Kluyveromyces lactis: one gene and its partners. The protein of the gene in region 2 binds, or shares a complex with, the protein of the main gene of each other region. Links are inferred from orthologs where the notes say so. Each region holds a gene or a part of one and is shown on either strand. Other genes may lie near its edges.

Evidence for each region.
Region 1: YCS4 (region 2) and BRN1 share a complex: the UniProt entries of both Schizosaccharomyces pombe proteins name them as parts of the condensin complex. The link is inferred for Kluyveromyces lactis from reciprocal best matches to the Schizosaccharomyces pombe genes cnd1 and cnd2.
Region 3: YCS4 (region 2) and SMC4 share a complex: the UniProt entries of both Schizosaccharomyces pombe proteins name them as parts of the condensin complex. The link is inferred for Kluyveromyces lactis from reciprocal best matches to the Schizosaccharomyces pombe genes cnd1 and cut3.
Region 4: YCS4 (region 2) and SMC2 share a complex: the UniProt entries of both Schizosaccharomyces pombe proteins name them as parts of the condensin complex. The link is inferred for Kluyveromyces lactis from reciprocal best matches to the Schizosaccharomyces pombe genes cnd1 and cut14.

Annotation. Positions count from the first base shown.
Region 1 is NC_006041.1:607,942-616,393, reverse strand, and holds BRN1 (condensin subunit BRN1), read left to right. Parts: upstream 1-4,151; coding exon 4,152-6,470; downstream 6,471-8,452. Other genes in the region: KLLA0_E06755g (sugar porter family MFS transporter), read left to right, coding at 1,450-3,453; i-AAA protease YME1, read left to right, coding at 6,898-8,452. UniProt on the Schizosaccharomyces pombe protein: Regulatory subunit of the condensin complex, a complex required for conversion of interphase chromatin into mitotic-like condense chromosomes.
Region 2 is NC_006042.1:1,869,166-1,877,512, forward strand, and holds YCS4 (condensin subunit YCS4), read left to right. Parts: upstream 1-4,896; coding exon 4,897-8,154; downstream 8,155-8,347. Other genes in the region: ATP-binding cassette glutathione S-conjugate transporter YCF1, read right to left, coding at 1-4,171. UniProt on the Schizosaccharomyces pombe protein: Regulatory subunit of the condensin complex, a complex required for conversion of interphase chromatin into mitotic-like condense chromosomes.
Region 3 is NC_006042.1:1,756,259-1,764,722, reverse strand, and holds SMC4 (condensin subunit SMC4), read right to left. Parts: upstream 6,613-8,464; coding exon 2,494-6,612; downstream 1-2,493. Other genes in the region: CSF1 (Csf1p), read left to right, coding at 1-2,508; ARP6 (Arp6p), read left to right, coding at 6,947-8,194. UniProt on the Schizosaccharomyces pombe protein: Central component of the condensin complex, a complex required for conversion of interphase chromatin into mitotic-like condense chromosomes.
Region 4 is NC_006040.1:1,344,505-1,352,785, reverse strand, and holds SMC2 (condensin subunit SMC2), read left to right. Parts: upstream 1-2,781; coding exon 2,782-6,294; downstream 6,295-8,281. Other genes in the region: RRT5 (Rrt5p), read left to right, coding at 1-406; KLLA0_D16027g (60S ribosomal protein uL2), read left to right, coding at 1,094-1,097, 1,575-2,335; MET10 (sulfite reductase subunit alpha), read right to left, coding at 6,364-8,281. UniProt on the Schizosaccharomyces pombe protein: Central component of the condensin complex, a complex required for conversion of interphase chromatin into mitotic-like condense chromosomes.

The DNA of each region.
Region 1 (8,452 bases), on a different chromosome or scaffold from region 2:
CGCATTTCTTTTCCGGTTTTCCACTTTTCCTGTGGGGAAAATAATATTGTCCTCCCCCCACATGAATTGTTTGAAAAGCGGCGTGAATGAAAATTGCAATTGCCTAGCCCAAATCCATATCCAGTATCTGATCCGTATCCTCACTACATTCGAATTCGAGTTTTCCGCCAAAAATTCATCCCAACAGTACTAGAGATACCTCTAGTTCTGAACAATGTTTTCTAATTTCTTGATCATCTTTTTTTTCCATCTTTTTTTTTTTTTTTTCTCGTTTTTTCTTCGGAACATATTATTTTTTGCTACAAGTATACAAGTTACATACAAAACTGGCTGGGAGTGCTTTGAAAATAAATTGCTACTGGAAATAAACAAAAATATATGCTGCGGGGAAATTTGAGGCAAGGGTATTTTCCTTTTGGTTCCAATTATTCCAGCCATGGAAAAATGATATATATCATCGAGGACCACTGGCAAAATCTACTGCGGCTTTCTTACTGTAAGTTTACAAGTCCGCATATTTAGTTTGCTCTTTGTTCATGAAGACTCGAAACTCATCTGATCTTGAATGCTCGAACTACTATGGAATCATAGCAATAGTATCTCCGTTGCTCCAGCCTTCGACATAATCGACGGTTGCGTTTCAGCCCATTCGCGTGGGCTGGGCTATTGCAGCCTCATCTTCTCATAACCAGCCATAATTCCTCCTTAGCTCTCGAAGAAGATCGCTGGTGCGCTGGATTATTTCCCACCTGATTAGGTGTTTCTAATACGTAATTTAGTTTCATTTTCTTTTTTTTTTCCTATGCGGTTCGTGTATTTTGCCGTGATTTCCTTTTATGAAACTGGGAGTCTGCTTAAAAAACAACCTTAATATTCACTTAGGCTGACTCTATTCATTCAAGCAAAGGCAGTAGTATAGTCCGGCTCCTTTCATCTCTGGCTTTTGCTTGGATCGTCTCGCTACTGCAAGCAAATAGTGATTGAATTTTTTTTGATTCATTTTTGCGTTGGAGACTATTATTAGTCCCTGTTAGTAGCCGGTAGCGCTTAACACCACTGCAAAATGAAAACTGGATTACTTCCGTCAACGTTAGCTATGTTATTTACACGGCTTCACGGAGAACCTGAATTGAAAGACAGTATATATAAGTAGGCTCTGAAGTATATACTTTTCTCAAAGATCGTGTTGTCATGGCTGTTAATACTTTTACGTCAAATATTTTTCCATGATCTTCCTCCCATATAAAAAAGGTTCATAACAACCAAAAACCTATAATAGTTTTGAGAGGGTTTATCCTCATATAGTTTTTGCATTATAAAGTTGTTTTGTTTTTCCTGAATTTGTCTTAGAAAAACTTGTACAAAGGCCATTAACCGATTTACGTGAAGAGGTCTTGAAGCAGAATATTATTGAACAGATAGAGAAAGATTGTTAGTATCAAAATAGTCATGGATAATAAAGAGGTTAAGAGTAGTCCTTCAGTTGAGGATGTTAACTCATCTACCAAGAAGAGTGCTGATCTGTCGAATGCAGAAGTGACCAGCTTTCATGAGGCAAAGAGGAAATCTGCCGGTGGTGGTGTTTTCGTTGCGATGAACGATGACAGTTCCATTTCTAGTATTGGTGAAGATCCAGAAGGAAGGGATCCGAATAGTGTGCAAGAAGAAAATATATTGGCTGAATATTCAGAAGAGCAGGTTATGAACATGGGACGTGCTTTTGCTAAGAAGTACGAGTTGCCAAATGATGATGATATTTTCGCTCGTGGTGCTGCTTTGGCCAGAAAACCAAACGAATACGACAGGTTAAATGTTCTAAAGGAAGATGAACGTATTGCTTGTTACGATGAAATTCATCATCCTTGGAGAGTCCCTCCAAAGTTGATTGCTATTATCGCTGCCAGTGCAATGGGTGCTGCCGTGCAAGGTATGGATGAAACTGTTATCAATGGTGCTAACTTGTTCTACCCTAAAGAATTGGGTTTAGGGTCAGGATCCAAGAGGGACGATTGGTTGGAAGGTCTTGTTAACGGTGCACCTTATCTATGTTGTGCTGGTGTCTCGTGTTGGGCTACCGATTGGTTGAACAATATGTTTGGTCGTAAAAAGGTTATTTTCATCACTTGTGCTATCTCTGCTATCACCTGTTTCTTACAAGCTTTCGGTCCAGCTGGTACTCCAGGGTGGCACTATTTGTTTGCCATGAGATTTTTGTTGGGTTTTGGTATCGGTCCTAAGAGTGCTACGACTTCCGTTTACTTGGCTGAATGTTCTACCAAAAAGTTACGTGGTATCATCTGTATGAACTGGCAAACTTTCACTGCTTTCGGTATCATGTGGGGTTACGTTTTCTCTTTGATCTTTTACAGAGTTGGAAGAGCTGGTATTGCCGGTGGGTTGAATTGGAGATTAATGTTAGCCAGTGCTATGATTCCTGCTATTTTAGTTTTAGTGCAAATCCCATTCTGTCCTGAATCTCCCCGTTGGTTAATGGGTAAAGGTCGTTACAAGGAAGCTTATGAATCCACCCTCCAGATTAGAAATCACAAGATCCTAGCTTGTCGTGATCTTTTCTATCAACACGTTTTGTTGATGGAAGAAAACTCTTTGGAAATGTCTTACTGGACTAGATTAAGGGAAATCTTCACTGTTAGAAGAAACAGAAACGCCTTGATTTGTGCCTTCATTTGTGCCTTCATGCAGCAATTCTGTGCAATTAATGTTATTGCGTACTATTCCTCTGCCATTTTCTTGCAATCAGGTTTCACTGAAATTTCTTCATTGTGTGCTTCCCTAGGCTTCGGTTTAATTAACTTCTTCTTTGCTATTCCTGCCTTCTTCATGATCGACAGATTTGGAAGAAGATTCCTTCTATTAAACACGTTCCCATGGTTGGCAGTATTCCTTTTGATTACAGGGTTTTCTTTCTGGATCGATGATACAGAAAAAAGAATCGGTGTTGTTTCGATGGGTATTTACGTATTCTCTGCCATTTACTCTTTCGGTTGTGGTGTGGTTCCATTCGTTATCGCTGGTGAAGTTTTCCCCTTGTACGTCCGTGCCATTGGTGCATCTCTTTTCACCATTGTCTTGTGGGGTTTCAACTTCATTCTATCTTTAACTTGGCCAAGTATGCTACGTGCCTTCGAGCCTCAAGGTGCCTTCGGTTTCTATGCTGCTTGGAACGTCATCGGTTGGTTCTTAGTCTACTTCTTCATGCCTGAAACAAAGCAATTGACTTTGGAAGAATTGGATGAAGTGTTTGATGTACCATTAAGGGTTAGAGCCAAGTATCAACTATTGGAATTGTGGCCTAACATTCAAGAAAACCTCCTAAGAAGAAAGAATGTTAAGAGACAACCACCACTCGATAAACACCACAGAATGGCCATCAAGGCTGCCGAATGGAACGAAAAGGCTGAGGCTGAAGAATTGGAAGTTACCGAGATCTAAAATCAACTCAACACTTAATATTTTTATGTCAGTAGAAATATTTTTTGGTAGAAATTAACCTCCTTTGCATGATAAAGCTAGCTCAAACTATCATCATGTCATCGCTTTTCACACTAATTGATAACTTATCAAGTAATAATATTGCGAATTAAAGAGAATTTGAACAGAATGCCTGGTGTATTTAAATTCACTCTAATTCCCCTTTGTCTTCCTCTGTTTAATAGCTTAACTGTTGAACTTTCAATTAAGTAGATATTTATCTAGCTAGTTAGTAATGTTTTAATGTGATATTTTAAATGTAAGAAACAAATTTTAAAGTTCTAGCTAATATCTTGACATGTTGAAATAAAAGTGAAGAAGTCATGTAGACCAGGAAGTGATTGCAAACATTAATGACTATACTTACCAAAAATCGAATCAGATGCATTAGATGTGATCATGGGAAACGCTTGAGATGCTCCTAAAGTGTTCAAACCAAGGCTTTATGCAGCTGCTTCTCACGTGGAAACTTAGTCACTAATCACGATTTGATGTTTACGTTTATTTGATGTTTTGTAAACATTGAAGGATCGGGACGCAGTATTCAGATCCATTTAAAGCTGTTCAGGAAAACAGAGGCAAGTCAGGAAACGGGATAATTGTGAGCATTATTCAGCTGCTTTATCAAAGCTACCTTGGTTAGGTTTTCAGGAGTAGCAATGACTACCCAATTACCGTATGACGATGATGACAACGGTCTTTTCACGAATAAGTCCACTATGATGGCTAACTTTGAAGAATGGATCAAAATGGCCACGGACAACAAAATCAACTCAAGAAACAGTTGGAATTTCGCATTAATTGACTATTTTCATGACTTGAACGTGTTGAAAGATGAGGAGGATAATATTAATTTCCAGAAGGCTTCGGCGACGTTAGACGGTTGTGTGAAAATCTACTCTCATAGAGTCGATTCCGTCGCTACTGAAACAGGGAAGTTACTAAGTGGATTGGCAGAACGGAAAGGGAGGCAAATTAGATCCAATACAAACGGAGAGAACGATGATGGAGATGAGGAAGATGATGACAGTCTAGAGGTAGATCCTTTAACTGGTCTGCCGATTGCCCGTGATGACCCAGAGACTCTCGCGAAAAAAAAAAGGACGTACAATAGAGTGTTAGAAACGACGTTAGTTGATTTTGAAAGTATACGACTGAAAGATTTAGCACAAAACCTAAGTATAGATCCGTTGTTCAAGAAGGCACTCGCCGATTTTGATGAGGGTGGTGCGAAGAGCTTACTTATAAACACGTTACATGTTGATGAAAAACTCCGAGTTGTTTTTGACGCAACAACGACTGAACCTGAACAAGAACAACCGCAACCATTGGCCTCTACTGAAAGTCAAGTTCAGGAAGAAAATAATGAAGTCAGCGAATCAGCAAAAGAGACCTCGGAGGTATTTGGCTTGGATTCAGAAAAGGGTTCAGCAAATGAGGAAAATGTAGAATCAACCCCAGATACATCAGTCACATTGCTAGAGGATGATATATTAGATCTCGGTGTCAAATTCTTAGATTTTAATACTATTGAAACCTCAATATTGTGTCCATCGATGGATCAGCTCCAAAGTGCAGTAGCGGATATTGGAAAAGCAAAGTCATTTGTTGAAGGAGTGAATGGCCAATCTGATAAATTCTTGACAGAAAAAGATCTAGAGACCCTTCCTGAACTCGATGCGGAGGCAGAGTTCAACTACGAAATGCCACCAGAGGATGGTGAGGATGTTGCTGTTGATGCAGGTTCTATGGACTACGTTGAGCCAGCGGATAACATTCACGAACCAGAAGAACAGCTGGCCCTATCAAATCAACAGAATATGTCACAAATAGATGACAAATCGTATGGCGATGCGAGCGTACTCGATCAAGAGTTACTATCTTACTTTGACGCAGCGATAGGTCAGAATTGGAGGGGTAGAGAACACTGGAAGGTACGAAACATCAAGGATAAACTTAGCAAGGAGTCTGTGGCCAAACCACAGCAGCCAACTGAAGCCGATGGGAATCATGAACCAGCAGTTGAAAAGAAGGTACCCAAAAAACAGTTTGAGATTGATTTCTTGGATCTGAATGATAACATTGAAGAAGAAATATTTGCAAATAAAAAGGGGTTCATTGATCTATCAGTGAAACAAAGAACAAATGATTCACATTTCTTACTACCGGACGACTATAAATTCACAACGGATAAAATCACAAGGCTCTTCATTAAGCCCGAGCAGAAGATGAGTTTCTTTTCACACAGGAGGATCAGTAAAGCCAGGTTACCTGGGTCCCTGAAATTTGATGATACCGAAATCAAAGAAGTGAGTAATATTCCGGAGATTGCAGACGAACGCTTTTGGGCTGAAAACTATCAACTGCATGAAAGGGAAGAAGAGCACAAGCAAGATGACACACAGATAGAAAGATCAACCAATCCATCGTTTGAAGAGGATAACGGCATTGACTTCAACCAAGCCTTCGAAGATGAAGATTTGGATATGGATACAAAAGAAGATTTCGTAAACACGCAAGGATTAGTTGCAAATAATAAAATGACCTACTCCAGAACCTCCAAAAAGGTAGATGTGAGAAAATTGAAGAATAATGTGTGGAAGTCAATATGGCAACGTTTACATGTACTGAAGACAGACGAACAAAATGGGGAAACTACTCGGAATGAGGAAACTACTCAGAATGATATCGAATCAGAAGCACATCTGACCGAAGAGAAGCAGGGAAAGCAGGATATATCAGCAGAAATATCAACAAAAGCAGAGGGCTATGACTTGAAATTCACCGATATCGCTCACGATATCGTGAACATGTACACTTCAAGTGCCAAAAAGGATCTCTCAACCAGTTTCTGCTTTATCTGCCTTCTTCACCTCGCTAATGAGTATGGATTTACGATTAACGACACTACAAACTACCAAGACTTGGACATTCGGTTCCCTGAAAAGATTGCAGACGCAATTATTGGCAAGGAGTAGCCGAACTATAGCCGACGTAATTATTTTGTTTGTATATAGAAGAGTATTGATCACGTGATGTTCGTCTAAAAAGACCTCGTTCCTTTTTATTTTTCTGGCACTTTCGAATCGGATTTCAGCTGTTACGTAGAGTTTCTCCCTAATGAAATGCAACGCCACCCGGACGAGCGTTCATCAGCTTCCAAGAATTTGTTGATAATGTTGAAATTTGAGTAAATTGAGCATTTGTCAAATTTAAAGGTTTTTATTTTCTTTAGAATGAGGATATATATGGCTATGATTATTCGGGTCATTTAGAAGGCAACGAAAGAGGCAAAAGGCTTTTAAGAATAGTGAACAAAGGAAGCAACGAAAAAGTTGTATATACCAGCTCAGGTACTTTGAAAAAATCACTTTTACGGTGTACTTATTAAGTGTTAAAGGCTAGATGACGCTTCCGGTGTTGATTGGTGTTTCTGGTTTGTGCGCCAAGAACGCTTCTCGAGTGTTGATTCGTCAAGCCCCTGTCTTGACAGGGCCAATTTTAAGGACTTTGCATAGAAAGCATTTTCTTACAGGCAGCGTGCTACAAAACAGATTATATTCGGACAAGAACCAAACAGGCAAGGATCATAATGGTGTTACAGGTTCTCAGCATTCGGAGGACTCGAAGAACACTGTAAATGGGGCAACAAGTGGTGCAGAAAATGTTCAGCAGCCCAAGCAACTAAACGGGATTAATTCGAGTGATATTGATCCGGCAAATGGACCTGTATCACACGCTGTTTTGGCTACTAAGGAACAGCAAGCTAATAAAGATTTGTCTAACCCAAGTGCGCAAGCGGAGTTCTATAAACTTCTCTTGAAATCGAACTATCCGCAATACGTTGTTTCGAGATTTGAAACTCCTGGTATTACTTCATCGCCTGAATGTATGGCTTTGTATATGGAAGCTTTACAAAGGATCGGTAGGCACGCTGATGCTGAGTCTGTGAGGCAGACTTTGTTGACGACTGCTCCAGCTGGAAGTATTCCTCCTGCCGTGGCTTCATCTGGTGCTTCTTCCGCTGCATCGGCTAACGGTGCTGCTGCCCAAGTTACTGGAGGTGTTTCATCTGGTTATTCTGGCATCTATAATCCGTACATGGGATCCAAAAAGGAACCTCTACATGTTGTTGTCACTGAATCCACATTCTCTATTGTTTCCAGATGGTTAAAATGGTTGATCGTATTTGGTGCAGTTACATACGGTTTGACTGAAGGTTTCAAATACATTACAGAACATTCAACCCTCTTCAAGACAAATGAAGTCGCCGATAAATCTGTGGATGTTGCAAAGACTAATGTAAGATTTGATGACGTGCGGGGTTGTGACGAAGCTAGAGCTGAATTGGAGGAAATTGTCGATTTCTTAAAAGATCCTACCAAATACGAATCCTTGGGTGGTAAGTTACCTAAAGGTGTTCTATTGACCGGACCTCCAGGTACTGGTAAGACTTTATTGGCAAGAGCCACCGCCGGTGAAGCTGGTGTTGACTTTTTCTTCATGTCAGGGTCAGAGTTTGACGAAGTTTATGTAGGTGTTGGTGCCAAGCGTATCAGAGAGTTGTTTGCACAGGCCCGCGCTCGTGCCCCTGCTATTATCTTTATCGATGAATTGGATGCTATTGGAGGTAAGCGTAATCCCAAAGATCAAGCTTACGCAAAACAAACTTTGAATCAATTGTTGGTTGAATTGGATGGGTTTTCCCAAACAAGCGGTATAATTATCATCGGTGCCACTAACTTCCCAGAATCATTGGATAAGGCTTTGACAAGACCAGGTAGATTCGATAAGGTCGTCAATGTTGACTTACCTGATGTTCGCGGGCGTGCTGACATTTTGAGACATCATATGAAGAAGGTTACTGTTGCTCCTGATGTGGACCCAACTATCATTGCAAGAGGAACCCCAGGTCTTTCTGGTGCTGAGTTGATGAATTTAGTTAACCAAGCCGCCGTAT
Region 2 (8,347 bases):
TCAAGTGTGATAAAGCCAATGCATTCCAAATTTCTTCATCGGTATACCGATTAGTAGGATCGATGTTTTCTCTCACTGTGCCTTCAAAGATTTGAGAATCCTGCGGGATAATCGACAATCCATGTCTCAAATCAGCCAAACCTATAGAATCAATTGGGATACCATCGATCACAATATGACCAGAAGCTGCCTCGATAATTCTGAAAAGGGCAAGTGTCAAAGATGACTTTCCAGCACCTGTTCTACCAACAATACCAATTTTCTCCTTTGGGTGAATATGTAAATCAATGTCCTTCAAAATCAATTCTAGTTCTGGTCTGTAACGGGTACTGTAGTTCACAAACTTTATTTCACCTGATTCTGGCCATGATGCTGGTGGCCTATGGTCTTTAATAATATATGGTGCTTCGCTCTTCAATTCTGCATACTCTTTGATTCTTTCAACACTAACAATATTAGTTTCTACTTCCACAGTCATTCTGACAATCCAATTCAACGATTGAGTGATTTGCAAAGCAAAACTCAATGATAGACCAATCATACCAGCAGTTAGAGTTCCATTACCAAGTCTAATAACAGCCAACATAGATGCAGCCAATATGATCACGGATCCGATAAATTCAAGTCTAAATGCCAACCAACGGTTAGCATTGACACTAGGATAGAATGCGCTCATATTATTGTCAACTCTGGTTTGGTTGATATGTACAAAGCGGTTCTGTTGAGAATACCCACGGATGGTAGTCAACCCCCCTAAGGTCTCTTGGAAGTGCGCATAAATGGGTGACCTAGTAACAGAATCCAACCGACGCAATTCTCTTGAGGTTCTCAAGTAGTACTGTTGATAATAGATGTACAATACACTCAATGGTAACACAATAAAGATAAATTGCCAAGTTGCCATGCAAATAACAACGATGGTGAAAGAGACCTTAACAACATTTGCAAAGAATTGAGCAAACGTTCTACCCAAAATTTCATCTACCTTATAAATATCATTCGAAAACCTGTTTAGAATTCTTCCAATAGGAGTTGTTTCAAAGAAAGACATAGGTGCCTTTAAAACACTTGAAGCCATTGCATCATGTAAATACTTGGAGCCATGGATAGTACAGAATACCCATAGAACAATAGTCTGTATTAATGTTGCCAGAGCGGAACCAACACCTAAAGCTAAGTAAATCATCAAATATCTTGTGGCATGGGGGTTATAGCCTTTCTCAGTATTGACTTCTGACCAGTGTTTGAGCCAGAAATTACCAATGACGGCCAACAGCATCGAGAGGATTAGGAAACCCAAAAACACACACACGTTGCGGGGGTTACACGCACGGGCGTACTCCATATAAATATCCCATTTGACTTTACCTTGTTCCCTGTGTTCTCTTCTGGCGCTATTTTCATTGTCATCAAAACCAATTGAGCCTAAGGTTGCCAAAGAAGCTCTTCTTAGAGATTTTAGGTCTTCAGCTTCAGATAAGTTTTCGGTGTCCAACTGATTTATATCTACGGTAATTTCAGAGATCTTTGAGTCTGAATAAGATTCAATTCCTTCCGACGCTAATTTTGCCAAGGAAGTAGTAGATTGGGAAGGAGTTGGTTTACCCTTCTTCCCAAACTCGGCAATAAGCTTCGATAGTGGAGAGTTTGTTGACTCATTAACTTGATCATAACTTCCCTGCTGAATGATTTCGCCGTTTTCCATGAGAGTAATGGAGTCCGCAATGGAGAGAACAGTAATTTTATTTGTTGCTAACACCTTTGTTTTGGAATGCAACAAACCGTGTGGACCCAAAACGTGTTCAATCAAATGTTTAGCGACATGCTCATCTACAGCAGCGAGAGGATCGTCCAATAAGTAAGTATCAGCACGAGAATAAACGGCACGGGCTAACGATAGTCTTGCTTTTTGGCCACCAGATAAAGAAATACCTTTTTCACCAACTAAAGTCTGGTCACCATCTGGCAACATAGAGAGATCAATACTCAAAGCACACGCTTTTATAGTCAGCTGGTAAAATTCTGGATCATACTTGTGACCAAACAAGATATTATCTTTAACAGTACCATTCATAATCCATGGAACCTGTGAAACGTTGGCGACGTCACCGTGAACAGTTGCGAAACCCTTCACTCTAATCAAATCTCCTAGTAGACTTTGAATAAGTGCACTCTTACCACTACCCACTTTCCCCACGATACATGTTAGTTCACCTTTCTTGGCAACAAAATTTATGTTTTTCAAGGCAACTTTATATTCAGGTTTGCGTTGCCATAAGAAAGTTGCATCGTTGACTTTAACACCTTCGTCACCAATATTCTTTACTTTTGGTTCACGTAAAACGGCATCATTTTGCAACTCTTCGTTAGTCAAAAATGCAAAGAGTCTATTTATGGACACAGATGCTTCAATAAATGAAGAGATTGCATTAGGAACAACAGCAAGAGGGAATGACAATAAATTGAAAAGAGTTAATGCAGGGAAGACTAGATCAGTGGATAATGGTCTTTCCTCCGTGTATACGAAAACAGCAAAGGTAGAACATGACACAAGGAAAGGCACGATATTGAACTGGAAATTAGCCAATGCTAATGTACATCCCATTTTCTTCAAGTTCTTCAATTCTTTCTCGTTCCTGACATGATCCAATTTGGCCTTGTATGGGATTTCCCACCCGTAAACTTTCAAGGACTTAATATTGTTCAAGATTTCGGAAGTGACTCTAGTTCTTTCATCTTTGTTCTTCATTTGAATTTTCTGCAATTTTTTTTGTATCCTCACAATAACAGAATTTATAGGGATCATGACAATCATAATGATAACACCAACCCACATGCATGGACCTAAAAGCTTGTATAGAGAAACCAAACACAACACAATTTGGAATGGGCCGGACCAAATAATTTGGCCCCATTGAGTTAAATCCTGTAATCTTTGAACATCAACACTCATTAAATTAACAATATCACCGGTAGATGAAGAAGCCGATGCTTCATTTGATAGAACAAGGGCCTTTTGATAGATTACAGATGTCAAACCACTCTTGATATTCATCCCCGTATCGAAAGCGTTCAAGAAGTATTGATGCAAAATGGACGTTTGAACTACACTTACAAAGAACATAGCCAAAGATAACATGACACCTTTGACTAAAGGAAGTTCTGGCTCAGGTGTGGAAGTATAATCTGAAACGAACTTGATCAAAATTCTTAACAATTGAGGTTGGGTGAATTGTAAAATATCATAAGCAACTTTGAAAGTACCACCTAAGAGTAATTTACCACCAAACGTAGTTAACATCGCCCAAGATAAAGATGGATTGGCCTTGTGTTTCAATTGATACTGCCAGCGCTCGCCGAATTTCTCGGAGATTTCTTTTGAGCCGAAACTTTTTGGCAACTTGTATAAATCCTTCTCAGTCAAATATTTCTTGTAACCTGTTTTCATCAATTCTGTCATCCAACTGAAACTTAATCTTTGGAATATATGGGCTGAGTCCACTGGATTACGTTTTTGCTTAGAATAGGATTCTATGACTCTCTGATAAGAAGGCAATGGCTTTTCGAATAATGATTCCAATAGTAAAATCATCACAGCAGAGATGGTCTGGAACACAGTTAAAATGTACACGGAATATGACACGGGCAATTCATGTTCATCACCGTAAGCATGTCTGATACTGAAGTTAATCCATTTGGATCCTTGAAATAAACTTTCGAACAACCAATAGAAGAGAACTACCCCGTTAGAAATCCTTGATCTGTGGTACTCCACCCAATGTAACATTAACGCTACAAATATGGATAAGAGAGTTAATGTATATTGGGAAGTTAGTGTTACACTTTCATGTTTTTCGCTAGAATAGTAAGCGGACATTGAAGTGAATAACAAGAAACACCCAACTAACCCGATTCTTGAGAGCAACAACCAATCATGTTTGTATTTCACCCCTGGATGCTCAGCTTTACTCAATTTAACTAACTGATAGGTACCAAATATTAGCATGAACAACGCTGCAAAATTCAATAGTACACCGTCAATAAAGCAAATGGTAAAGTCTCCGAAGTACGATATAGGACCGAACCCCTCATCATCACGGCATAACCAGCATGCGGTGCTATTTCCAGAAACAGCTGAAATCATTTCTGAAACCGAAACCGTTTGAAACATTTCGCAATCACCCGTGGGACCATAAATTGTTTTAATGAACGTACCAGTCTTCTTGTTTAACCTTTTTTTTTCGATTAAGTGGCATTTTATGCTTTGTCTTATATGCTGTTCTTTTTTTTTGGAATTTCTTGTATCTGCTTCGTAGTATTACAAATATAATAAAACTGACTTCCAAACACTAGAAAATCTGTTCAAGTTCAGCTGCTTATTTCGGAGCTGAGCCATGTCAAGCTATTTACTTTCAAACGACTACTGAGCAATTGGCTTGTAGACGCACCAATGCGTAGATAACTACTCTTTGCAATATCTTTCCTCCGGTGAACAACTTGGCCTAGTGCATTTCAGCCCTAGACAAATATGGCTACACTCATTTCGACATGTTTCCAATAAGGTGGTTTCGTGGTCTAGTCGGTTATGGCATCTGCTTAACACGCAGAACGTCCCCAGTTCGATCCTGGGCGAAATCATTTGTTTTTTTAATTTTTTTTGTTTTTTAAACATTAGCAGTTCCCGTGTTCTGCATTTGTTTACGTTTTCAGACTTGAATTTTAAAATCAACAGTAACAATTGCAATTAATCACGTAGACCTTACAAATGAAGGTGCTCATCGGTAGTTTTTCTTACTCCCTTTAGATTCATTACCATCTGTTTTGATCTCCGAGATACTTAAAGAGAATCAACTAAATACTTCATGGTCTAAATCGTTCAAGTTGTATCCTCTAAAAATGTCAAATTTTCAGCTCACGGAGTATCTTTCCTCGTTCCAATCCACAGATAAATCATCATACGGAGCCCTTGAAGCACCTGGTTCCACTCTCAATCAGGTAACGGATGTTTTAGCTTTAAATTCAGAGTATGAAATAGCAGATGAAATCTTTGAGACACTAACAGATTTGACTCACTCGTATCTACATTTGAACTATAATGTGAAACAACAACTGGTATATTTGGTGTCCTCGTGCCTATCAAACTTATCAGCGCTGATCCAATCTAACTTTCAAGTCGATGAAGAGGTATTGCTCTCATGGAAGATCAACCTACAAAAACTTGGATACCTGGTACATGTTTTGTTGATTTTCATTCAAGATGATTTGTTAAATCGAACTCAGCAACAGCAGCAACAGAAGAAAGAAGAAACAAAGCTATACTCCTCATTACTCGAAATATTGCTACCTAGTATCATAAAACTTGCACAGATACCACAGCTACCGAAACTTTTCGGAACCTTGTTGGAAAGAGATCTATTCATTGGTCTTTTCTTGAAACCGCTTTTCACGTTAGTCGAATGTGAATCGCTAATCAAGATAAATCAAATCACCACCATGATAATTAGAACCATAGCTATATTTGTGAAAAATGACAACCAATCGCAACTAGTACAAAACTTCATTATGGCCAATCTAACTTATTTTCCTCAACTTACAAATTTTAACGCAGAACTATTGACCTATATCAATGATGAGTTCGACTATCCTCAACTTACCGAGGACATCTTGAGGAATATTAGTAACAAGGAGTTTAACGCGAAAGATTTGTCCGGACCAAAATCTATATCTAACTTTTTAATCAAGATATCTGAGTTATCCCCCAGAATTGTGCTGAGGCAAATGACGTCAATTATAAGATTGTTGAATAACTCGTCATTTACATTGCGTTGTTCAGTGGTCGAAGCATGCGGAAATATTGTTATAGACATTGCATCTGACCCTGATCTATACCAACATTATAAACAGCAAAATGACACTTTAATTGAACTGCTTGAAGAGAGATTCCAAGATTCGAACCCTTATGTCAGGTGTAAAGCTATTCAATCATGTGTGAAAATATGTGACCTCAAAATTAAATTTAACTACCATAGACTGTTAATTACTTCCTTGGCGGTACGATCTTTGCAAGATAAATCATCATTGGTGAGAAGAAATGCTGTGAAATTGTTATCACAGTTGTTATTAACACATCCATATGATCAGATGCACGGGAGTCAATTAAAGTTACGTGATTGGAAGCAAAGACTGCAAGATCTAGAATCACAGAATTTCGACCCTGACGACGAAAAAGTGAAACTAACTCGCCAATATTATAAAGATGCCATCTCTTTTATTGACTCGTTGCATAACGCTATCGAACTCTGTGTGCCTTTGCTATTTTCTCGGAATAAGTCTGAAGTACTAGAAACGATGGATTTTCTTGTATTATGTGATGCTTTCGACTTGGAATTGAGTTATATTGGTGTCAAGAAAATGTTACATTTGGTTTGGTTCAAAAACTCTAATGATGAAGGAACGAACATTGCGGATCATTTAGTTTCTTGTTATAAACAGCTATTTCTTACCACTCCTGACCATTTTAACTATAAAGAAAGGTCCGCATTCATAGCTAACAACTTAATTAAGTTGACACTCGATGCATCCATATCAGACCTTGCCTCACTAGAAAGACTAATAGGATTAATACATGACAGCAAATTGATTGATTATAATGATATCAATGCGCTCTGGTTGATATTCCAAAGTCTGTTAACTGGAGGGCGGATCGGCACAACAGAATTTTCCTCTTCTCAAATCCATGGTGCAATAACTGTGCTAGGAATGTTGGCTCTTGCTGATAATGAAGTTGGATTACACGGCCTCCCTTTCATTTTAAAGGTTGGATTCGATCATGGCAATCTACCAATAATCAAAATGACTTGCATCGTTCTGCAAAGAATGGTGGCACCTGATCACACTGAAATTCCACACCAGGAGGAAGTATTGAAGAACCTTCACAATCTCGTCATTTCATCAACTGATGACCATGATTACTACTCAATGTGTGAGCATGCAATTAACGCAATTTTCGAAATTTCCGAAAGACCCGATATTATTTGCAATACCTTAATAAAGGAAAAGACTATGATAACTTTTGGCGAGCTTCGTAATAAGAATATTGAGCATTCAAGATCCCAAGCAATTGTTGAGTCTAGACTTGCTTCTCTTTGTCAGTTATTATTCATTGTGGGACAAGTGTGCATTAAGGTAATAGTATTTCTAGAAAAGAGTGAAGCAAAATTCAAAAAATCCAAGATACAATTCGAAACACTGAAATCGGCAGCTAATGAAAACAATAATTCTGATCCTGATGCTTCTGTTGGAAATACCACAGAACAACAAAAGGAATTGGATCTCATCGGAGGTACTAACGAAGATGATTTCTCAGATGCGATTCAATATATTAAGGAAAACGAGCTATTATTTGATCCCAATTCCTTACTCTCTAAATATGGTCCATTGGTGGAGGAGATTGTTACAAACTATGATAAATTTAATGATAAGTATCTCCAGAGAAATGCTGTTTTGTGTTTGACAAAAATGATGTGCGTCTCATCTAGGTTCTGCGAGAAATATTTATCGCTTCTAATTACAATTATGGAGAGATCACCCGATCCTATTATTAGATCAAATGCTGTTCTAGGGCTTGGTGATATGGCTGTTTGCTTCAATAATCTGGTTGATGAAAATACAGATTTTTTGTACCGCCGTTTACATGATGAAAACCTCATGGTTCAGAAAACTTGTTTGATGACTGTGACATTTTTAATTTTAGCTGGGCAAGTGAAGGTCAAAGGACAATTAGCCCAAATGGCTATTCTCTTGGACAACTCAGATCAAAGTATAAGTGATATGTGCAAACTCTTCTTCACAGAATTATCAACCAAGGATAATGCTATCTATAATGGATTTATTGATATTTTCAGTGGTCTATCCAACGACGAGAATTTGAACAAGGACTCCTTCAAAGTGATCATAAAATACCTTCTAACGTTTATTGACAAAGAGCGTCACCAAAAGCAACTCAGTGAGAAATTGCTGGGCAGGCTCACTAAAGCTGAAAACCAGAAACAATGGGATGATATTGCTTTCGTGTTAAACCAGCTACCGACAAAATCCGAGAAGGTTCAGGAAGTTCTGGAGGAAGGATTCAAACTCGTTAGTGCTAGGGAATGAGAAGTAGTCCGATACCAAGCTAGAACTGTGAATGCTTTGATGATACAATTAAATATAAACAGATTACGATACAAAAAATAAATAATAGATAATATCTACATGAGAAGAATAGAATTAAATAGGAGGGCTCGCAAATGTTATTAACAAGGATGAAGCTGACAACGTCAATTTACTAATGGAATGAACGATAGTA
Region 3 (8,464 bases), about 120 kb from region 2:
GCTACGGCACAAGGGAAGGAATCCAATAACTTCTTTTTTGCAAATGGCGTTCCAGAACTGAACCGAAGCCATTTGTCCAGCATGCAGATAAATTTTTGGTTTTCTGGTCAATTCATAGAAAAAGACTTGTTTGTTCGAATGAACGCAGACAAGCTAGATGTCAGAATACTGACAACTTCGGTAGAAATTGTAAACGTTATGAGGTCTTCAATAGAGAGCTTTCAAAAGAAGCTGGCAAAAATCAGTAATATTAAGAAAAGTTCGATATCAACACATAATGTGGCTGAGAATTTAAGTGACAAAGTCTCAATCCTTTCAATTCGTTCAATAAATTGTATTGCCAAATATGGAGGTGGTATAATAAATCTTTACACTCCCGATGATATTGCACAAGATTCTCCCAAATCGTCGCTAGAGCTCACTAGTCCATCAATAGAAGTTTCCTTGGACTATATGCACAACTTCCCTTCGCAGAAGCAGCATTGGATCAGAAGTCTAGTAAATGTTGAATCAACTCACAACATTTTGTTTTCATCCTGCGTTCCAGTTTTAGTAAATCTCACAACAGAAATCCAGAAACAGATGGAAAGATTTAACTCTGAAAAGAAGCAATTGGTCCATAAAACTCAAGAACAGACAACTAATACTCAGCGCATTTCTTTCGACTACAAAAATTTATTCAAAAAAATTGACACAGCGATAGTGATAAACGTTGGAGCTCAAAATATCACATTGACATGTGAGCCAAGAGCAAAAATTCAAGCAGACCTAGGCTTCAGTAACTTCAGAATCTCGATGTTTACCGACTCACCAGATCATTCCGAACCGCTGTCTCTATCACTACAATGGTCAGAAATTGAAATCAGTACCAGACATATTTTTTCTCGTGAAATCAGTTCTTCAGCGGGTATAAATGAAGTATATCTTGATTTTATGTTAACACACGAAAACACCATCAAAACATATGGAAATACTCTGATATCCGACATGAAATTTTACGTTAATATGAAACAGTTGCAAGAGATCACTTTATTTCTTGACATATGGTCTCCAAAGACTAAAAAAGCTCAGAAACTAGGATCTGGACCACACTCTGGGCAAAAATGCCAACCTCAAGCTCTGACCGAATTCACAACTCCTAAAATTCCGTGGATTTACCAAATAATCTTCAAAAACACTTCAGCTGTAATTGATATGGATCCATCGCTAGGTTCAATTAATTTCAAAGTGCCTACATTTTGGATATCGTCTCACCACAGAGTTGATTGGTCTCACTCTGTCAGCTTTTATCTGGATGAATTAAACTCGAAGTCTGATGGTCGTTTAGGTGGATTGTTTGAAATTAAAAACATATTTTTTGACTCTAGTATAAGCTGGCCGGTTAAAGACAATAAATTCGAGGCGCCTTTGATAAATTTAGCCTTCAAAATGAGCCACCTGTCTTCAAAAATTGGATTCGATTACCACTCTTTTTTAATCGCTCGTGTGTCGGATTTGCAATTAGCTATTCGTAACGAGAGGGATGAAAGTGGATTATTGAAAGATTTGTTAATTGTATCCATGTCATTTGGATCCGTTAATATTTTCTTAACGGCTTTGGCTTCTGCTAATCTCTACGATATCTATGCAACATTTGCCAGAATGAGGATCGAAAATAAAAAGTCTTACGTACAGACCCTAAAGGAATCAAATCCTGAAAGTTCGGGAAAGATTCATTTCTCAAATAATGAATTACTGGCGCCACTTCGTTTAAGAACTAATTTGACTGCTGAAATAGGATCTTTCAGGCTATATGTTTTTCCAAGTACTTTATTTGATAGCGAAGTATTGGTGCTGAAGGCAAATAAAATGAATGTTGAAGCCGCAACTCAGACTGAGCAAAAAACGAAAACAGATCTAACATGGCAAATACGCGACATAAATATCAGTTTGGCTCAGTTTAAGAATGAGTTAACTGAAGAGCAGTTTGCTGAATTGAGCGTCGAAGAGTACAACAGACAAGCTGCTCTTTTAGAAGGAGACATAATTCTAGCGGCTCCCTCAGTATTTGTTGGAATTACCACTTGGCAGAAAATCCCTGACACAGACATTGAGTTCTTGTATTCCAGTAGTTTTGGGGATAAAGTCGATATCAAGTGGAATCTCGACCCAATTAACTTCATCAGGGAAATGTGGGCGACCCATGTACGTGCATTATCTGTAAGACGAGGTCACACTGAGCCATCTCCATCAAAGCCCTTTTTCGAAGACGAAAACATTGCTGAAAAGATCAAAATTGTGAATCTTGGCACAAAATATAAATATATTCCTTTGGAAGAGCCACACATCGAGATGCCACTTTTAAGGGATCTAGGAAATGCTACACCGCCTATTGAATGGTTTGGAGTTAACAGGAAAAGATTCCCTGGTATGGCACATCAATTGATAGTGGTTCCATTACAGAAGCTAATCTATGTTGCTGAAGATCAGTACAATCGTACATTAGGGGATAATTTAGGAACTATGTAAAATATCAATATTCTGTAGGGTTGTACTTTTAGTCATATTGTTGTTTTTATATATTCCCACTAAATTTTGAGCTAACTCAAACATGTTATTTCTTAGTGAGATAACAATAAATTGAGCATTTTTTGTTCGTTCTTTGATGTAATTAGCCACAATCGAGACATTCCGAAAATCTAAGGCAGCATCTATTTCATCCATAACATACAAGGGTGTAGGCTTGTACTTATGAAGAGCAAATACCAATGCTAGAGAGCTCAAAGTTTTCTCACCACCCGATAAATTGGAGATATTTCTCCAAGATTTTTTAGGTGGCATGACGCTGAATAATACACCCTCCGAAAAGGGATCAAGACTATCAACAAGTTCTAGCTCTGCATTGCCACCCATGGTAATCATCTGATACATTTCCTTTAGAGTCATAGATATGATGCCGAAACCTTCCATAAATTTCTCTAGTCTCTCATTCTTGAAACTTTCACACTTATTTCTTACTTCTTCCCTTTTGGCAACTGCTTGATTTAAGTCTAGTTTTCGACGTTGGTATTCTGCAAGCCTGCGTGCGTATTCCTCTAGTACTTCTATATCTCCGTTAAAGTTATCCAAGTAGTCTTGTAATTGATGAAGTTCAAGTTCTAGAGTTTCTAAATCGAGATTTTCCAACTCGGTTTCCGTCAAACTTGGTAACCCGCTGTGGGTTGCAGCTTCACCAGAATCTTCCATAGCGTCATTATTTCCGACATCTGTGATAGACTGCGTTTGAACTATGTCACCATTCATTACCTTAGCAGTTACATCTGTGCATGACTCAATTATTCCGTCATTCAATTGACTTAAAAGTTTGGAAACGTCTCTGATTTTAAGACTTTGTAGTGAGGTTTCATAACTTCTCAGCTGTTTTTTAACATACTCTTGTAGCCCATGCAACTTCTCTAATCTATCTGAGTACTCTAATTCTTTTGCTTTAAACTCATTGGAATCTCTTTCAATAGAAAGAAGCTCTTGTTTCAATTTCTCCACGCTAGAGTTCAACTCTGCTTTTCTTTCATTGTTTTCGATTACTTGTTCTTCAATTCTTTCCTTTTCCAGTCGAATTGATTCCAATTGTTCGGAAAGTATTGAAATATCCTTATTACAGACTAGAACTTCTTCCGAATATTTGTTCTTTTCCCTAGTCGCTCTAGCCAGATCAATGTCAAGCTTCTTACTTCTGGTCTTCTCCTTTTTCTGCTTTTCATGTAAAATTTCAATGTGTTGTTCAAGTGAGGCAACTTTTGCGATTTGCATCTTGAGCTCAATTCCTCCTTTCTGCATGATTCTATCCTTGAGATCATCAATCTTATCTTGGCTAAACTTTGAAGCATCAATTGTTTGCTGCAAATGTTGTCTCAAAATATCTAGTTTCTTCTCTTCATCCAACAGTGGCTGTTGATTCTTCTCGTTCATAGAAAGTTCCCTAGCAAGCTGTGATAGTCGTTGGTGATAGGATTCCACCTCAGCGACCCGAGATCCTTTCTCAAGTTGTATTTTGGAAATCTGAATATCAATCTCCGGAAGACGATCTGTTAACTTTTGTAATGCAGATTCCATCTCATGGACCATCGATAGAGCTGACCTATAATTAGTTTCTTTGGTTGAAAGTTGTACTTCCATTTTCTCCACTTCATCGCGAGAATATTGACTTGCCGTAGTAGCTTTTGATCTCATTAAGCCACTTTGGGGAGAAGAACCCCCTCCTGACATTGTACCGGAAATATCGATTAATTTCCCATCCAACGTGACCACTCTGAACCTTCTTTTCCCGTAGGCTACTCGATTAGCTTGCTGTAAATCCCTGGCAACTAACGTATCTCTGAGAACTGAGTAGAATGCAGGTCGGAATAAATCACGGACAGGGGTTATAAGATCAAAAAGCCTAGGTACATTTTCAGGAGTGGCTATTCTGTCCAAATTGCATTTACGTAATTTATCCAAGAGAATGAAACGCCCATACCCTAACTTATTTTTCCTCAAGTGATCTATACATTGCTGCCCGCATTCCACAGTTTCTACAACTATATCGTCTAACCTGGGACAAGCGGTTGATATAGCAATATCGTATTGATCATCAATCGTGCCTAAATCTCCCAACCTCCCGTGAAAGCCGGTTATACGTCCTGAATTCTGCAATTTTGTAAGAGCAAGTAGGACTCTATTTTTGTTTTGGAACCCATTGAGGTTAGCTTTGGCTTCTTCAACAATCTGTCGTTGTTGAATCAAAACATCTCGCATTTCATTCGTTTGTTTTTGGGCTTCTTCACACTCCTTTTGAGCAGTGGATATCCTGGCCTCGACCTTGGATTTTTCGTTTCGTAAAGAAGTTTCTGTCTCTTTCTGTTTCAGCTCTTCAAGTTGCAGATCTTCTATCTTACTTTCAATGGTAGCTTTTTCTTTCAGCAAATTACTGTGACTGGATTTCAACATTGTGATCTTTGTTTCTGAAAGTTTAATTTCAGATTGTTTTTCCTGTATCTGATCCCTAAAAGGTTCTAACTGTCTTTCCAAGGATTCCATCTCCTGCGATAGATCTTTGGTTTTTTCATGCAAATGAATTTTGATTTCATTAAGTTTTTCCTTCTCAATACTGATAGAGTGATTGAGATTGTGAAGTTCTATTTCACAATCATCATGATTCTTTTTTAACGACTCAATTTCATTGACTGCTGCTTTACCGTTGGATTCCGATTGGGAGAATGCCTTCTCCGCAGCCTTTAATTTTCTTGCAATACTTTTAAGTTTTTCATCTGTGGCAATAAAATCCTTTTCTAAAGAACGTTTTTTTGAATTCACGTTTTTAGATTCAGTTTCTAATGCGGTGCTTTCTTTCTTGGTATTGTTTATTTCATGTGTCAGGGTTTCAGCTTCCTTTTGTAAATGTTCATATTGACTCTTTTCCTCTTGAAATTCCATGTTCAACGCAGATATTTTATCACAGCTCGTTGCCAATTTACGGTTACTGTCATAAATTTGGCGCTGAAGTAGTTGAGCCTTTAATATAGTATGTTTTCTCTCTTTGTCAAGAAATTCCAGTGCTTCTTCTTTGCCAGATTCAAGATTCTGCTTCTCTTTATCTACCAATTCGAACCTATTTTCTTTCTCCATGCAAACCTCATTCAAAGTTTCTATCTCTTCTAGACACTTCTCGATTTGCGGTTTGAATTTAGCTGTGCCAATTATATCTTCCAAATATTCCAAAAGTCCATCATCGTTGTCCTTTTCAGCCTTGGCCTTCATCTGGGCAATCGATTCCACTTCACCTTGAAGAATCAAGAATCTTTTATGGTCCAAATCAATTCCTTCCTCTTTTAAAAGTCTTGTTACTTCAGTATAATTACTCTCTTTCCCGTTAACATAGTACTTTGAAGAGTTGTTTTTGAATGCTCTTCTTTCAACCACCATTGTACCAGCCGATGGAAGAATCTTGGTTTCACCATTATCTGTATCATGAACGTAATGAAAATGAATTTGGACAGAACAGGATGCCAGACTCGGGAACTGCTCAGATTTGTGAATTAACTCGGAGAGTTTCCCTTGCCTCATTTTATTGGCTCTAAAACCGAAGACAAAAAGCATTGAATCGATAACATTAGATTTTCCTGATCCATTAGGACCAACAACTGCAGAAAATGATGTGTGGAATGGTCCAATCTCTTGAATACCAGCATACGACTTGAAATTATTCAAAACCAATTTATCAATGCATAATCGCTGTGAGGTCTGAGTATTGGCCTCGTGCATCTTTTGTAATTCAAGTCGTGTACTTTTTTTGGGTGAAAGTCTGATCAATTCAAGCTTTCTTGTCGGAGATCTAGTAGGTGATCGCGTAGGAGACCTAGGCGGAGACTGACTGTATTCGCGCCCTCGTACAGCATGTGCCGTAGGAGGTTGCAGACTCGGTGGATCCATTGTATTAGAAGCGGCAGTAGTAGCCTGTGAATTAGAGACGGCATATTTTTTTTCAGGTGAGCCCAAAACCAACTTCCTTGGCGTCCTTGTTGGCGATTGTGATACTCTTTGCCTCTTTATTTCTGGTGAGTCTCCCAGATGCGGCACAGAACTGTCTGCAGTCATATCAATCAAGCTATAGTGCAGCTACAGGAGGCAACCAGAATAATAGCTTTACAGGTCGAGGTGCTCGTTGGCTGTGGTGGTTTGCCATCGCCATCGCCATCATGATAGAATATTAAAAGTTCTTTGGTTTACATCATGATTGTTTGGTAAACAAACAATCTTTTCAAAACATGAAATTTGAAAAATAACAAAAAGGAAATGAAGAAAAATTGTAGCACTACTACAGAAAAACACAGGCAATCTGCATGCGCGCTTCTTTGAATGTCCTGATGATTTGCCAAATTGGCTATATGGGATAATTTAATGGGAATAATATAATCATACATCTATTAAAATGAGTGAGCCTGTATTGGTGATCGATAACGGATCGTATGAAATCAAATTTGGTGAGAGTGGATGGGATCAGCCACTGCGAGCGTTAAACTGCTTAACCAAGGACAAATACTCTCGCTTCCACCTTTCAAATCAAACGAAGAAAATGCGGGATATATCGCAGGCTTTAATAAGAAGGCCTCACGAATTGGGTCAACTTGTATCATGGGAATTAGAAAGTGAAGTATGGGATTACTGTTTTTACAACGAGGACGACTTCCATTGGAACTTGACACACGACAATGACACTAAAGATCATCATTTAGTAGTAAGTGAGACGCTCATGACGATACCAGAGCTTTCGAAAAACATGGACCAGGTAATATTCGAAGAATATGATTTCAAATCTATGTTCAAAGGACCTGTAGCACAATATATTCCTTTTTACCAGGGTCAATATCAAGATGACGCAATGACCGCTGCTGAAGACAAGAAAACTAGTTCATACAAGGACTTCCAATTAGTTATAGACTCGGGGTTTAACTGCACATGGGCTGTTCCTATAATAAAGGGAGTACCGTATTACAAAGCTATCAAGAAACTCGACATCGGTGGCAGATTTTTAACAGGCCTATTACAGGAAACCATTTCGTTTAGGCATTACAATGTGATGGAAGAGACAATACTTGTAAATAACATCAAGGAGCAATGTACTTTTGTTCCCCCTGAATCATATTTTTCAAGTTTCCACAACAAAATGAACACAAAGGTCGAGTATGTACTACCGGACTTCCAAACGAGTTTCTTGGGGTACGTTAAGAAACCAGGTAAAGAAAAGCTCACGGATGATGCACAGACCTTATTACTCACAGATGAAGTCTTCTCGGTACCAGAAACGTTCTTTCATCCTGAAATTGCACAGATTTTAAAACCAGGAATCGTCGAAACAATTCTAGAATGCATCAACATGTGTCCCGAAGTCGTCAGACCATTACTTGTTGCCAATATAGTATGCACCGGAGGCAATTTTAACATTCCAAACTTCCACGAGCGATTACAAACAGAATTACAAAGACAATGTCCGATAGACTGGAGCTGCAAAGTACATTCACCCCAGGAAAAGGACAAATCTCTACACGGATGGGAAAGCATGAAAGACTTTGCCAACTCGGATCAGTTCCGCTCAGCAAGGGTCACAAGAGAAGAATATCTAGAACACGGGCTCGATTGGTGCACCAAGAACAGATTTGGCTACCAACAGTGGTTGTAACCATGTGATCGCAACCACGGCTTTCGTGTATATAGAGTATATATGCATAGGTTCAATTTCACAAACGCTCACGTGATATCAAATGAAACTGCTACTGCTACGGTATTATTTTTTAGTAGCGGAAATTCAAATCCGGGTAAAAAAACTATGATCCCCTCCTGCCTCTATGAAGTACCCCTATATTTCACATACGGAGAAACCACACATACTCATATACACAAAAACAAGACAACTTGATGGAGCAAAGCTCAGGAGGGTAGAGTATCTGCA
Region 4 (8,281 bases), on a different chromosome or scaffold from region 2:
CGATGCGAAACAGTTTGCAACACAAGAGAAATTTAGGGGCAAACAGATAAACGTGAAGAACGCATTTATAGAAAAGATTGAAGAAGTGCAAAGGGCTTTAGAGAAGAAGGCGGGTGCTAACACTAATGGAGAGTCCGCGGAAGGCAACAACGAAATCCCAGCAGATGCTGGGGTAACAGGAGATGAACCTGATACAGCTAATGCTGTTGCGGCAATTCCTATCGAGGGAAATCCTCAACCACAAGCTGACGGTAATGACGGTGCTGTGGTGGAGCCCGAGGCCAATGCCGAACCGCTTATCGACCAGGAAGATGGTGTGACAGCATCGCAGGACAATCCATTACTTAATTCAAATGCAGAGTCTCAATTAGAATCTCAACAACCTGTAGAACAGGTCGCAGCCTAATACACATACTACTAGCATTACTACTTCTATCAATTATATAACTATGGTTTCATAAACAACATGCTTTTCTACGTAAAATGCAACAAAACAGTCATCGGGCGATCAGTCAATCAGTCAATAAATTCATTAGTGACACATTCAACATCAGCAAGTACACAATAACAGATTATGTGACTGTTCCACCTTACATCCGTACCTCAATGTATTTTATATATTTTTGGAATTTGGTTATACATTATTACTGTTTAAGGTAATACACATAAACTTTTTCAGAAAAACTTACACAAGGCAGTCCAATTGTGGTAAGGCTGGGTGTCCTGGGCAGACGTCCCCCTGCCGATATTCCTTTCCTCTAAGACTGAGCCGTTCTGCCAGGGGGAGCTGAGACACAGAGTCTCTCTGTCCGGCTTTCCTAGTCCTGCCCAGGAAACTCTCCCTCCAGGCTGGAATTCAGATTCACAGAACCAATGCCTAGGCTGGGACCAGAGTTTCTGCCCAGCCCCTTCGGTTCCAGTACATGGACCAATTCTGGCAAATGGTGAATTTTCAATATTGTAGGTATAGTTATTGAAGAAAGAATTAAAGATCATTCATTGAAACTATATGGTAATACTGCTTTGCAATAGTATTTTGTGTTACACTTTATTCTTATTGCACTGATACTGTCCAACCAAACCGAAGTAAACAATGGGTATGTCTATTACGGTGACATAGAGTTATGAGGATTTGAAAGCACTGAATTAAAGAAATGGCCATCATTTTAAGAACGAATAATGAAATATAGAATAATGTTAACCAGGCACACACCGGCCATAATTAAACAATGCAAAGAGCGAATATGATATGTTTTGAGAGTTGATGATTGAATTACTGTTAGCGATATGCAATATATGTGTTAAATCTACCAAAGAAGATGATTGGGAATTATTACGTCAATATCATTGGGAAAAAGAGATTTAAACGATACAGAGAGCAGAGGAAGAAACGACAATAGCTGGCATGGGATCAATGATAGATCTGGAATTATAATGAGTGTCGATTCAGATGTGGTTCAGATGTTTTTTCAACAATTATAATAAGAATTTTTCAGTTATACTAACAAGAATTATCTTTCAACAATGGCATGAGCATTTTGCATATCCATTGTCGATTGTCAGTTTCAAAACAGGTAGAGTTATTAGAAACCAAAGAAAGGGTGCTGGTTCTATCTTCACCTCTCACACCAGATTGAGACAAGGTGCTGCCAAGTTGAGAAACTTGGATTACGCTGAACGTCACGGTTACATTCGTGGTGTTGTTAAGCAAATCGTCCACGATGCTGGTAGAGGTGCTCCTTTGGCTAAGGTTGTCTTCCGTGACCCATACAAGTACAAGTTGCGTGAAGAAACCTTCATTGCCAACGAAGGTCTCCACACCGGTCAATTCATTTACGCTGGTAAGAAGGCTTCTTTGAACGTTGGTAACGTTTTGCCATTGGGTTCCGTCCCAGAAGGTACTATCATCTCTAACGTCGAAGAAAGACCAGGTGACAGAGGTGCTTTGGCCAGAGCTTCCGGTAACTACGTTATCGTTATTGGTCACAACCCAGAAGACAACAAGACCAGAGTTAGATTACCATCTGGTGCTAAGAAGATCATTTCTTCTGATGCCAGAGGTGTCATTGGTGTTGTTGCCGGTGGTGGTAGAATCGACAAGCCATTGTTGAAGGCTGGTCGTGCTTTCCACAAGTACAGAGTCAAGAGAAACTCTTGGCCAAAGACTCGTGGTGTTGCCATGAACCCTGTTGATCACCCTCACGGTGGTGGTAACCATCAACATATTGGTAAGGCTTCTACCATCTCCAGAGGTGCTGTTTCTGGTCAAAAGGCTGGTTTGATCGCTGCCAGAAGAACTGGTTTGTTACGTGGTTCTCAAAAGACTCAAGATTAGATTTAAACAATCTCCATATGTTTAGGTTTATTGTTGTATAAAAATAATTTTATTAAATGTCATTTCAAATCTGTGTCTGAAGAACGATGTGGATTCCAATAGTATACAAAGCTTCAAATTTCAATATAATTATTAGTAAACTACTTCTACATACCGTTTTTTAATCATTTCATCCTTTCGTCATATTATCACAGGCTATTTTTGAGCACTAAGATCCCCATCGTCTCTGCAATGTATGTTTTGCCTTTGTCTGTCTTCCCTCATTATTTTATGCAGATTTGATTATGAGAATTTCAACATAAATAAAGATTTGAAATATGTAAACAAAAGACCTGATGAGATCAACAAAACAAACACAAAGGCGAGTCAAAAAAGTGAATCCAACCCTGTCAACGCTTGCTGTGAGGTTACATATCTGCTGCTTTAGATAACCCGGTGATATCACAATGAAAGTGGAAGAACTTATCATCGATGGGTTCAAGTCATACGCCACAAGAACTGTCATTACAGATTGGGATCCTCAATTCAACGCCATCACTGGTTTAAACGGGTCAGGTAAATCGAATATTTTAGATGCGATATGTTTTGTGTTGGGTATTTCATCAATGGCAACCGTTCGTGCTCAAAATTTACAGGATTTGATCTACAAGAGAGGTCAGGCTGGGGTAACGAAGGCCAGTGTTACCATCGTATTTAATAATAGCGATACCAGTAATTCACCAATTGGATTTGAATCGCATGCGAAAATCTCAATCACTAGACAAATCATACTCGGCGGAGTCAGTAAATATCTGATCAATGGTCATAGGGCCCAGCAACAAACCGTGCTTCAGTTGTTTCAATCGGTGCAATTGAATATTAATAACCCGAACTTTTTGATCATGCAAGGTAAAATTACCAAGGTTTTGAACATGAAGCCGCAGGAGATTCTTTCGTTAATAGAAGAAGCCGCTGGAACAAGGATGTTCGAAGATCGACGGGAAAAGGCAGAAAGAACTATGGCTAAGAAGGAGACCAAATTACAAGAAATTAGAACTCTTTTGACTGAAGAAATTGAACCAAAACTCGAGAGATTCAGGAATGAAAAGAGAACGTATTTAGAATTTCAAGAGACTCAATCTGATTTAGAAAATGTGATGAGAGTGGTAAATGCATTTGAATTCAGTCAACTCTCAAATAAAAAGAAACATATAGAAGAAAGTTTACATTCTGGTCAAAGTAGACTCGAAGAGTTGGAGGATACAATTTCTAGGTTAAAGAACGAAGTCGAGAACTTGGGAAGTGATTTAGACGCTCTAAAAGAACAGCGGCATAAGGAGGTTCAGTTAGGTGGTAGAATGTCGGAATTGGAAACTAAAGAATCTGAAATTTCAAATGAGCTTTCAAGGGTGCAAACAAGTTTGAATATCGCATTAGAAGATTCGGGCGAGGAAAAGGTAAGGATCAGTAACTTGAAGAAAAATATTGAGAGGTGGAAACAACAGCATCAGGAAAAGAAAACTCTATATGACTCGAAATATAAAGAGTACAATATTCAAAACAAGAAACTTGAGGAACTGAAAGCCATTCATAAAGAAAAGCAAGAACTACTCTCAACTCTAACGACTGGTATCTCGTCTACCGGTACCACTGCAAATGGATATAATTTTCAACTATCCACCATCAAAGAGAAGTTACAAAACACTAGAATTGAAATAAGGGAGAAGGAAATGGAAGTGGAAATGCTTAAAGAAGAGCTCAATTCAAATACTCCCAAAATTTCTGCTGCCAAGGCTGAAAAGGAAAAATACGATAAAGAAATACAAAACATGCAACATCATTGTAATAATCTCGAAAAACAACTTGAACAGTATGGTTATGATCCAATACTATTGAAAAATCTAAAGGATAATGAGCGTTCCTTAAAACATACACACTATCAATTGAGCCAGGAAACAGAATCCTTGCATAGGAAGGTCTCAAACTTGGACTTCAACTATGTTCCACCTTCAAAGAATTTTGATGTCTCGTCTGTTAAGGGAGTTGTCGGACAATTGTTTACCCTTGACGAAGCAAACATTGATAGCTCTGCAGCTTTGCAGGTTTGTGCAGGTGGAAGACTTTTCAATGTTGTGGTAGATAACGAAAGAACTGCTTCACAACTTTTGGAACATGGTAGGTTACGCAAACGTGTAACAATCATTCCTCTTAACAAAATTTCGTCACGAAGAATCAACGAGTCCATCTTGCATTTAGCAAAAGAATTAGCTCCTGGAAAAGTGGAATTAGCTATAAACTTGATTGGATTTGAGGAAGAAGTCACGAGAGCCATGGAATTCATTTTTGGAACAAGTTTCATTTGCAGAGACGCTGAGACTGCCAAACAAATTACATTTAATCCAAGAATCAGATCTAGAAGCATAACATTACAAGGTGATGTCTATGATCCTGAAGGAACACTTTCAGGAGGAAGTAGGAATTCTTCAAATTCACTACTACTTGATATTCAGAAATATAATCATGCATCATCGAGGCTCAAACAAGTTGAGAACGATTTGCAGGAAGTCGGCTCACAAATCAAAGACCAGCAAATGAAAGCTGAAAACTCAAAAAATGTGTTATCCGAATTGAATTTAGCCACACATAAGCTTAAGTTAGCTGAGAAGAATGCACATGCTAGCAACGCAATGCAGCTATTTAACCGTAATGAAGAAATTCTAACTCAATTGAAAAACTGTGAAATGCACATATGTCAGTTGACATCATTGACCAAAGAATACGAAACTGAGATAATAAACATTCAAAGAGATATGGAAGAATTCAATAAAGACAAGGGTTCAAAGCTCAGGCAGTTAGAAGCTAATCTCTCTGAAGTCTCTGCAGAAGTGGAAAAATTAGACACTGATACGGCTAAGCTGTTTGATGAATATCAGAACTTGAGTTTTGACACAGAACAGCTACACACAGATATTTCTAACGCCCAAAATGAAGTATCAATTGCAGAGAAAAGGCTTGCAGAACTGGAAACAACGTGTAATGAGTACGAGGGCGTTGTGAGGACCAAAAAGTCTGAACTTCACGAAGTACACAGTATTTTACAAGAGGAAATGTCCAGACTTTCAGGAATGGAAGATGAGATATCAGAACTAGAGTTATTGCTTAAAAATAAGAACCATCTACTTTCAACTTCGGAAGTGGATTTACAGAAGATTACAAACGACTTGCATAAATACAAGAATAACACTTTTGGCATCGATCAAGCCATTGAAAATTTAATCAACGAAAATGATTGGTTGGAAGATACTTCCATGGTCAATAGCATCTTGACACAGAATAAGAACATTAATCTAGATCAGTACAAGAAACGTGGTTCCGATTTAGCCGAAAGCTTTCAGAGCTTAAGAAGGAAGGTGAACCCAGAGGTAATGAGTATGATTGAGAGTGTAGAGAAAAAGGAAACGGCATTGAAAACAATGATTAAAACCATTGAAAAAGATAAGCAGAAAATTCAGGAAACTATCGAAAAGCTTAACGAATACAAACGAGAAACTTTAATAAAAACATGGGAGAAAGTCAGTGTAGATTTCGGAAATATTTTTGGCGATCTTCTCCCGAATTCATTCGCCAAATTGGAACCTTCAGAAGGTAAAGATGTAACCGAGGGATTAGAAGTTAAAGTTAAATTAGGTAAAATTTGGAAAGAGAGTCTGGTAGAACTCTCTGGTGGACAGCGTTCCCTAATTGCGTTATCATTGATCCTTGCATTGTTGCAGTTCAAACCTGCACCAATGTATATATTGGATGAAGTGGATGCCGCATTAGATTTAAGTCATACTCAGAACATTGGTCATCTTATTAAAACCAGGTTTAAAGGCTCCCAATTTATCGTTGTATCGTTGAAAGAAGGTATGTTCACTAACGCTAACCGGGTGTTTAGAACTAGGTTCCAAGATGGTACATCAGTAGTTAGTGTTATGTAATGATTCTCATATACCAAAATAAATAGATTGATAAATAATAAACAGTATTCAACGAAACACATAAAAAAATCAGTAAACTTCTAGGATATATCTAGAAGTTTCCTTTAAGTCTTCAATGGCAGCATCCAAGTCAACGTTGATGCCCTTCTCCTTCGCATCTGCAGCAATAATATCTTGTAGAGCTTGAGTGATATCAGGAACAGGCCACGTTGGACCACATAAGTAGAAGGAACCTTCATTGTCAATCATTGCAGTCTTCAACTCTGGCAAGTTTTCTTTGATACGATCTTGGATGTAAATCTTTTCAGGTTGATCTCTGGAGAAAGCGGCACCGATGTGAGTGATAATTCCAGCATCCTTATAAGCTTCCCATAATTCACCGTATAAATATTCTTCTCTCTTGTGTCTAGAACCCAAATACAAATAGACTTCACCGATTTCATAACCTTGTTGTCTTTGCCACAATTTTTCTTCTACGATAGCCTTGAAAGGTGCTAAACCAGTACCTAAACCACTCATAATAACTGGTTGCTTTGGAGATGGTGGCAACTTCATAACACTTGGTTTCACAGATACAACAAGTTCAGAACCGATAGCTAAATCAGAAATGAATTTTGAAGCTTGACCATATCTCTTTCTTCCCTTATTATCAATCCAGTCCACAACGACAATCAATAAATGGACTTCGTTAGGGTGGATTCTTTGAGAAGATGCGATAGAGTATTCTCTTCTCTTCAATGGGGCAATTATTTTCACAAGATCTTCAACCGATGGTCTGGCTGATGGGAATAACTCGAAGATATCGGCATAAGTATAGTACTCGACATCTTGTAAGCGTTTTAATTCAGTAGCACCGGCAGCAGAAACTAAGTTTTCTAGCTTACTCTTCTCTTTGTCGTCAGTACAAAAATCGATCAAACTCTCGTAGAAGCGCTTTGGTGGTTTACCGAAAATATCAAGATTTTCGACGAAGGCTTGCAAAACGGTTCTTGACTCTAAGTAGTGATGGTCATCCTTATTTGGTACCTGAACAATGTCACTTTCATTCAAACCATAGTACTGCAAGAATTTTTGCACATTCTCCAAGTTGTTTTTTGCATGAACACCCAATGCTTCACCAATATCGTAAGTCATTCCTGTCCCAGAAATGTCAAACTCAATATGGAAAATGTATCTATCATAGTCATCTGGAGTGACACGTCTGTTCTCCTTAACTTTAACGACATAATTGTTAACGGGCAAATCAGGCCTCAATTGTTGTGACACTCCGTAAGCTTCTTGGAAAGTCAACTTCTTTGAAATTTCAGCGATCTTAGCAATTTCAGTCTCTGGTACTTCTTCGGTAAATCTCTGGTTTGCAGAGAATGAGGTTTCAGTGACAAAAGTTGGTAACTGATGGATTTCTTCTTCTTTTACTTCTTCACCCTTAGCTTTATCTTCAATGAATGTAGCGTAAACTTCATTTGGAATGGCCTTCACGCCAGTTTCAAGGGCAGTACTAATGGTATCAGACAACACAGCAGCAAGTAATTCGATATCAGGACCTGCTGAGTTCCAGATACGACGAATGATGCTCTGTTTGTCATCGTTAGTTGCAGCACTCCAGAAGACAGCTTGAGTGACGAAGGACAAAGTACGACCTTTAGTTTCCTCTCTGTCACCAATTGTTTCAACGTCGATCAATGTAACATTGATCTTCTTTTCAGCAACAGTGGTTAAAAATGCTTCGTTAATTTTCAATTCATCAGTGTAGAACTTCTTATCCTTTAAATCCTTATCAACCAAAGAGCTCTTCACCAATACAATGATGGAACCTTCTTGCTTCACAGTGGAAGCTACGTCATAAGCATTTAAAATGGAAATGTCTTCGACAACAATCACATCGGCAGAGTCGATATTAGAAACAACACTTTTCGACTTTGATGGATGCGAAGTGAACTGTGCTTGGAAGGTACCTGCATTCCCAATGTTGTCAAATTTCGTTCTC